2 linked regions of the Canis lupus familiaris genome follow. The protein of the gene in region 1 purifies or fractionates together with the protein of each later gene. This does not show direct contact. Links are inferred from orthologs where the notes say so. Each region holds a gene or a part of one and is shown on either strand. Other genes may lie near its edges.

Region 1 (4,271 bases):
ACAAGTGCCTAAAGTATTAGTTTAGGAAAATCCACCTGAACTTGTTTACACAAAAGGCTGGGAATGAGAGAGGAGTAGCAGAAGACCAGGAGACTTCTCCAGCTCTGTGATTCCATAACTGGTCACCAGTATCTACTGTCTGCAAGGCACAGAGCTGAAAGGATGGGCCCAGAGCAGAAAAAGGTGGTATCAAAGAGATGCCAGAGGCATTTGGGGAAAACCCAAAGGTTTAACAACCCAAAAAGAGAAGTGAAGAAAAAGCTGATGATTGGAGTTCTCAGGCCTAAGTGACCTAGATGATGGTGACACCATAGCAGAGACTGAGGACCCACCAAGGGGGACATGGAGGAAGTTCCCAGACTGTGAACTGAGCCCCTGTTCTACCATAAAAACACCGAATGCACAAATTCATCTATGTATGAGATTTACTTAAAAAAAAATCTCAGGGGCACCTGGGGATGGCTCAGTGGTTTAGCATCTGCCTTCGGCTCAGGGTGTGATCCCGGGGTCCCAGGATTGAGTCCCGCATCCAGCTCCCTTCAGGAAGCCTGCTTCTCCCTCTGCCTGTGTCTCTGCCTCTCTCTCTGTGTCTCTCATGAATAAATTTTTAAAAACTTAAAAAAAAACTTTAGCAAATAACTAGTTCAGAGACAGCGCTTATCACTTGCTCTGATGCCATTAAAGCAGTCACTGCTGTATCCCATTAGTGAACATTAGAACGCCACTCAGGAGTAGAGCATCACTGACCTACAATTTTTCAATGGCCAAAGGCAAAGCTGTACGTAGTCAAGTCTGTGTTTATAGTTTTTTTCATAGCCCTGTTCCATAGTCCCTTCTACCTTCCTGATTAGCAACCCACTGTGCAAGGTAGTGGATACTAACACAGCAGAGTTCCCGCACTTCTCACGGTCAACAGTCAAATGAGAAAGCCACCAGGTCAAACTACATGAGAGTAAAAGGGCACATTATGTGTTTTCTCCATAAACTGGGGAAGGGGCTTGGGGGTCCAATGATCGCTTCCACCAGTCTAAATGGATAACCATCTCTGAGCTTTATTTCCTACCTTAAGTGTAAAGTGAGGGGGTTAGCTTCCAGGAGGTGGAAGACAACTTAGCAATAGGTATCAAGGGCCTTAAAAATGTTCATACCGTTCAATTCAATAGTCCCGTCTGCAGTGAGCAAGAGGAGGAAATAAGAAATGGAACAACGGGGGCAGTCTTTGCAACAGTTAAACAAAACATACTCTAACATTACAGAGAGGGAAATAAATTATGGTTATTCGTAGAATGCGCTATTGTGCGCCATAAAAAGAAATCATGTTTTCAGTAAATACTTAATGACATGGTTGAAATGTTCCCTGCTTTGTAAAACATGCAGGTTTCCCTCACTATCCAAAAGTAGTCTTTCTACAAAACCTTTCATAAGCCGAAACAATGTAAAGCAAAGGGACCAACAATTACCATTATTTTATACGGAATATCTTTTGAGCTTTCCTAAACCCCCCAAAATAACCTCCCTTAGGGCTTTTCTGATGTCTTAGGGCACGCCTTGCTAATGGAGACACAAAATAAACTAAGTGAAAGCCTGGATGCTCACTGACACAATTCAAAGCTATGACAGCTTGACGCTGAGATGCTGAATGTAGTTCTCAGGGAAGGAGCTTGAGGGGAGGGTTGGGAGGTGCAAGGTCTCCATGACAGCTTGCTGCAAAACAAACACCGAATGCTATTTTTGCTTTCCCCATTTTTTTTCATAAAAGCAAAAATCCTCCGGGCTCCTGGGTGGCTCAGTGGTTAAGCGTCTGCCTTGGACTCAGGCCGTGATCCCGGGGTCCTGGAAACGAGTCCCGCATCAGGCTCTCCCTCTCTCTGCCCGTGTCTCTGCCTCTCTCATGAATAAATAAATAAAATCTTAAAAACAAAAACAGCTTCAGTCCGTAATTCTGTAGCAATCTGTTCCTTGGGACGAGAGCTCGTGTCTGTCACCATCCAGTCCTTGGGACTCAGGGTGTTGGAGGAACGACCCTCATGAGCTCTGGTTCTACTGCAAAGTTGCTGCAGTACAAACAGCCCTTCCGGATACGGACTCAGGTAAGGGCCCATCACAAGCCATACAAACACGCGCAATTCCCCTCCGCGATTCCTCCAAGTTTTCGGAAGGGCCCAAGAGATCTAGGTCCCAGTGCCGACTGGTTACTAACCGGCGCAGGTGGCGGTGGGCTGTGAACCCGGGTTCTCCGCGGGTGAAGCGAGAGGCGGCGGCGAGGTCACCAGCTGCAGCCGCATCGCAGAGAAAGGTCACTCCGCCTGGACTTGCCCGGGGAGTCCCGGGGAGTCCGGGGGAGTCCGGGGAAGCCCGCAGCCGCCAGCGCGGATCCGGGCCGGGCGCGAAATGCCCGCGGTCCGATGCGAGCCAATGCAGGGCTCCGGGCACCTTCCGGGCCTGCGCACTGCCCCCCCCCGCCCCCCGCTGCCCGGAGACCACCCGGCCCGCCTGCGGGGCCGCCCCTGCGGGCGCCGAGGCTGCGGGGCGCGCGGCAGGGTCCTCCCCCCGACCCCCCCGCCCCGGGCTCGGGAAGGGGCCTCGCTGCCGCTCCCTCGTCCTGAAGCCCCCACCGCATCCCCGGAACCCTCGGCGCGGCCGCCCTCACCCGGGGCTCACCAGGGGTCCGGGGCCATCGTGCAGTCTCCGCCCGCCGCCGCCGCCGCCGCCGCCGCCGCCCTCGGACACTTCCTGCTCGCGGCGGCGGACTACGGCGGCCGGCGCGGCTCACACCCCGCTGCTCCGCCCGGGCGCGACCGCAACCCGGAGCTGGCCTGGCGGGGGGGAGGGGGGGGAGGGCGGGGAGGGTGCACCAGGGCCTCGCAGGGACGGTCCAGAAAGGGGGGCGGCCCCCACGTCCCCCCGGGGAACACCAGGATGGAGCAGTCTAATCCCGTATGTTCCCCCGCTGCGAGACGCGAGCGACCCGGCGCGATTTAAATAAAAGCGTTGGACAGAAATCTTCAGCATTTTCCGGCGAGCATCTGAAATGTCATCCTGCTCAAAGCAAAAACAAGACGGTGGGCATAGCTGCACAACTGTAGAAATCTGCCAGAACGCACTCAGAGTTACTTTTCTATGTAGAGGTGTACCGCCACAAAGCTTAAAGATTCCTTGCAATCTTGCTTCAAGTAAGAGACCCAAAGAAGTGGCAATTATATATTACTTTATAGCGGCCTTCCTTAAATGACACGGTGCTTGGTTATATAGGTCGGGGAAGAAGTCACAGACGTTTTTCCGTGGAGGGAACGAGCACACTCAATGCCCCTACACCTCCAGGGAAATAGTGAGGGCAAGGAGCGCGGCTGCTCTTGCACCGGGAGCTCCCTGCGCCGCCGCCGCCAGTGCGTGCGGCCGCGGACCTGGTGCGCACGCGCACGTCCGTTACCATAACGACCAGGAGACGCTGCGCCGCCGCTGGCGAGAGGAGGGAGTGGAGAGCCCAGGCTCCAGGGGATGGAGAAGCAAAGTTCGCCCAAAGCCGAGGTGGCGGAGCTGGAGCTCGAGGCCGTGATCGGCTTCAACGGTGAGGCCTCGAGCGTGTCCGGGCTGGGCGGTTTGCAAGCCCCGGGGACGAATAGTGCAAACAGGGACACCGGGGGCCACCTGGAAGGTAGCGCGGGACACTGAGCCAGAGCCACGCTCTCTCCTGCCCTAAGGTCCCGGGGAGTCGAGGAGTCACCTCCTCGTTCTAAGCCTCAAGGACTGGGATGGCTTCACAGCACCTAGAAGGGACAAGGGTCTCCCCCCCCTACCCCCCCCCCCCCCCCCGCCGAAGGGATGACTAGGGTGCCCGTCATCCTTTTCATTCTAGGTTGGCTCTGCCTCGGCCTTAATCCCCCACGCAGCCCCCAAAGACACCCCCCCCGCCGTGAACTGCGAGACTGCCAAGTCCAAATCGACCCCTGGACCCAGAAACTCGTAGAATCCCAGCTGATGTGCCATGAGAAAGGGCTGGGGGCTGGACGTGGGTGTGAGCACCCGCCTTAGGGGATGGTCTAGTCCCCAGACCCCAGAACTCCTATTGGAAGGTTTCAGACCCCGATAAAAGATCGAGAGGACGCCAGGGGGAGCTGGAGGGGAGAGATGCTCAGGTCAAGGCGGGGGGTGGGGGGTGGGTGGGAAGCGGGGAGGACTGCTGGTTCTGCTCACATCTTATTTATGAGCTCCTGTTAGTTTGAACATTAAGGGTTCGGAAAGTGCTCTTTGATTTTGTGTGTGAAGGATGG
Region 2 (4,168 bases), on another chromosome or scaffold:
AAGGCCCTAGGAGTATTTTCCGGAGCCAATATTTTTGGCTTAGGGAGGTCAGGTCCAAATGATTGTCAAGGGCAATCTTCAAAGGGAAACATCAGTTTCATGGGAGGGAAGCCTAAGAATGTGAGGGCTGACTGGGCCATCTACCTTTCTGTCTCAGACAAGGCCTCCAAGAATCAGCCCCACCCACCCACCCACCCACCCAGTCACTGGAGCCATTTCCTGGACCCCAGTACCAAATAGTGGAGTAGAGCAGAATCAAAACAGGGGGCTCACTTGTCAATTCCCAAAACAAGTGAAAAGGCAGACTTCCCTCCTATTCATTTTGCCCCCAGCACCACCAATTCCCCGAGCCCCAGCAATTCACCCTCCCTCTCTTCCTCTACTGCCCAGCTCCCAGCCGCCCTGCTCCCAACCTCTGTGGGTTCCCCATCTCACTGTGGCTTCCAGATCCTCTGTCTTGTTGCGGAGATGGTCCAGGTTTTCTCCTCGGGCCAAGATCCGCTCCACATTCTGGGTCATAATATTCTTGACTCCCTCCACCTCACTCTGCAGGTTCCGCACACGATCATTTCCAACACCTCCACTGGCCTCCTCCTGGGCAGCAACGCAGGGGTTAATTAGGCGAAGTGGTGGAGGAACTGAGACTCAGCCTCAGAGGCCAGGGGAGGGGAAGGCCTAAGGTGGACTTTAGCTTTTTTTTAATGCTTGAACTGTTTACAAAGAATGTTTTCATGTATTACTCATGTGATCAAAAACAAATGCACTTTTAAGCCCCAGAAGGTGAGTGCTGATGCTAGACAGACTAGATCCAGTTTCTTTTCAGGTTCTCAGGGCCCCTGAGGAGGAAAAGAAACACAGACCCTAAATCCCACTCCACTGTTGCCTTGCTCCTCAGATGGGGGCAGAGAACTGCTGAGCTGGCATCTCACAAGGGGGAAACCCACCACTATTAACCGAAGGATCCTCATTGAAAATATCTGTGCTGGCCAGCAGAACACCCTCAGCTGCCACAACACCCCCCTCACTGCTGGACAGCAGCTGGAGAGCTGCTCCCGCCCCAGACTTCCCCAGACCTCCGGAGCTGCCTAATTGCTGTGACCCAGAGCAACAGCCACCGGGTTCCAAGGCCCTGGCCAGGCCCCAAGAGGGAGAGCCATTGCGCCATAAACTTCTGCTTTCCCCCAACACACTGCCCCATGTGCCGGCACCAACCAAGCTGCCACTGCCTCCTTAAGCAGATATTAAATAAAAACAGCAGACTGGCTGTTGAGGGAAATGGAGGGCAAGTCCTCCCTGGCTGATAAAGTTTTTGAACAGGGAGGGCAAACCATTACTAGGCTCCTCCCTCCCTGACCCCCTAGACCTCCGAAACAGGCCAGGAGCCGGTCCAAACTAGACGGATTGTCACAGAGAACCAACTTCTGGTTCTTTTACAAACCCTTCGCCTTCTTCTCCGTGTTTAAAGAGAGGGGCCCGATTCCTTAGGCCGGGCAGAGAGAGACGGATTCTTGGAGTTTCTCGACAGGATAAAGGGAAGGGCCGACGGGGAGGGCTCCCGCCGCTGGGCTGGAATCCGCCCTGGGAACTTCGGAGGCGCTGCCCAAGGGGGGTCACCGGGCTCGGCGCCCGGCGGGCCGGAGGAGGCCAGGAAGGGCCTCTCAGCGGCTCCCGGCCTGGAATTCGGAGCCTCCACCCCCACCGGAGCCCCGCTCCGGGCCAGCTCCGAGGGCAGGGGAGGGAGAAGGCGCGGGGGCAGCCGCCCGGGCAGCCAAGTTGTCAAAGGAGAGCGGCCACCGGCTGCACCGGGCCAGCCCTCCGACTTGGCCAGCGGCCCTGCGACCCCCGCCCCCAGCCCCCCGCCCCCAGCCCCCGCTCGCCTTTCGCTCAGCCCCTCGCGAGCTCCCAGCGCGCTCACCATGTCTCCAAGCGGCTCGGGCCTGGCGGCGGCGAGACTCCCTCGTCTGTTTCCTCCCGGGCGGCCCTCGCTTCACTTCCTGCTCGCTCCAACTTCGAGCCTGCCCCCGCCCGCCGGCATCCCGAGCGGCTCCAGCCTCACCTAGCGCGGGCCGGCAGGTAGGCGGGCGCCCTCCGCTGCCCTCCCAGTCTCCTCCCAAACCTGGGCTCGGGCTTAAAGCAACAGGGCTCGATCACCAGAGATCTTCTAACGCATCAGAACCAGAAAAAAAAAAAAGAAAAAGAAAAAGAAGATCAAGCAGCCCTCCTAGGTTTCCTGAGGCTGGACCTCCTGATATAGATAGGGAAGCTGGCTCCGCCCCCCCCCCTTTTTTTTAATGTCCTGAATATCTGACTCCAAATCTTAAACACTGAAGTCAACTCTAAGTACACCACCAGGGGTAGTTCACATGGAAACAGAACACAGATATGAAAGTTTCTTGCTAGCAACCCCTGTTCCCATGTTCAGGGGTGGACAGAAAGTATTAAAATCCCCCCAAGTCTGGAGTGCTGTAATCCTAGGCTGTGGTGTCAGAAAGCTCCGGATTACTAGTGTGACCCTGAGTGAAATTCTTCACCTCTCTGGTTTTGGCAGGTGCTAATGCTGACCTCAGAGGATGGTGGGGACGTATAACAGGATAGCACACTCAGTGTGCCTGCCACAGTTTCTGAAAGGAAGACCTGTCCACTGTTGGGACGAGGGAATGATGGCTTACCAATCCCTTCTTCCCTTCCAGAGTTCAACATTTCCTTCAGAAGCCGCTTTGAGGGGTTGGTGAGCCTACTCAGAAATGGTCAGAGGCCTGCCCTATGGACAAGAGAAGGGCCCCAGGCAAAGGATTTTTCCACCACCTGGTTCCAGGCCACAGAATATCTAGTCTTCCCAGATGGTATTTATCAAGACAGAACAAAAACAGGGACAGGCAAAAGAGAACAAACATTCCTGTCCCATCCCAGAAGTATTATTAGTTCTTTTTTTTTTTTTTTTTTTTTTAGTATTATTAGTTCTAAGAGAGAAATGTCAGTTTCTCTAACACATATTTTGTTAAAGGAAATGACAATTTCTGGACCTCTGTTTTGAGATACTTTATTCTACTTTATAATGAAATCTTATCTCCAATTAAATAAGATTATTATATTTTGCAAATCTGAAATTTGATGGACAGTACCAGCCTACTTTCACAGAGAATGTGGCTGTCTCACTTCTCATCATCCTTAGAAAATCTATAAAGAAGAAAAAAAAAAAAAAAGAAAATCTATAAAGAGGTCAAGTGGAGATGGGTCAGAATCCTTGATCTGTACTTATGCTGTCCATTACCATAGCCACTGACCATATATGGCTGCTGAGCACTTAAACTGTGGCTAGTCTGAATTGAGAAGTGATGTAAGAGTACACACAGTATTTCTTTTTTTAAAAGATTTATCTATTTATTCATTTGAGAGAGAGAGCACAGGCACACATACATCAGGAGGGGAAGGGCAGAGGCAGAAGGAGAGAGAATCTCAAGTAGACTGCTCTCTGAGTATGGAACCCTGCACTGGGCTCAGTCTCAAAACCCTGAGATCAGTGATCTGAGCTGAAATCAAGAGTGGGATGCTCAACCCACTGAGCCATCCAGGCACCCCAAGTATTTCAAAGACTTTTTTTTTTTTAATTTACTTACTTGAGAGAAAGAGCATGAGGCAGGGGAAAGGGCAGAGGGAAAGGGAGAAGCCGGGAGCACAATCCAGGCTCAATCCCAGGACCCCAGGATCATGCCCTGAGCTGAAGGCAGACACTTAACTGATACTGATAACATGTTGAAATGATGTTGTGGATTTATTGAGTTAAATTTTAAAAATTGTTAATGCTCATTTCACCTGTTTCTTTTAATTTGATGAGTAGAAAATTAAAAATTACAAATGTGGCTCAAATTATATTTCCATTATAAGACACACTGATCTATGCATTAATATTCATGTGACCTTGGACAGACTGATGTGACATCTATAAACCTCAGTTACCTCACCATCTATGCCTGGCACTGAAACAACCCTCAGTAAATGGTGGCTATTATGATTACTATTATTAATGATTCCAGATGCTAAGTGCAGTGGTGGGTAGGGACATAGGATAGGTGCCAAGAAACAAAGTAGGATGTCTGAGGAGAGCATAAAGACATGGAGGAGGATTTCCAGAATAGAAATTAGGGTTACAGGAATGCCTGGGTGGCTC

What was found. The genes of interacting proteins can lie anywhere in the genome.
Region 2: the proteins of STX8 (region 1) and VAMP8 purify together in Homo sapiens (co-immunoprecipitation; 5 studies listed by BioGRID and IntAct, with this or other methods). This does not show direct contact. The link is inferred for Canis lupus familiaris from reciprocal best matches to the Homo sapiens genes STX8 and VAMP8.

What each region holds. Positions count from the first base shown.
Region 1 is NC_049226.1:34,297,442-34,301,712, forward strand, and holds the start of STX8 (syntaxin-8), read right to left. Parts: upstream 2,801-4,271; 5' UTR 2,679-2,800; coding exon 2,662-2,678; exon of another isoform or gene 2,651-2,661; intron 1-2,650. Other genes in the region: CFAP52 (cilia- and flagella-associated protein 52), read left to right, coding at 3,499-3,568. UniProt on the Homo sapiens protein: Vesicle trafficking protein that functions in the early secretory pathway, possibly by mediating retrograde transport from cis-Golgi membranes to the ER.
Region 2 is NC_049238.1:39,846,747-39,850,914, forward strand, and holds the start of VAMP8 (vesicle-associated membrane protein 8), read right to left. Parts: upstream 2,801-4,168; 5' UTR 2,670-2,800; intron 2,162-2,669; 5' UTR 1,919-2,161; coding exon 1,916-1,918; intron 595-1,915; coding exon 436-594; intron 1-435. UniProt on the Homo sapiens protein: SNAREs, soluble N-ethylmaleimide-sensitive factor-attachment protein receptors, are essential proteins for fusion of cellular membranes.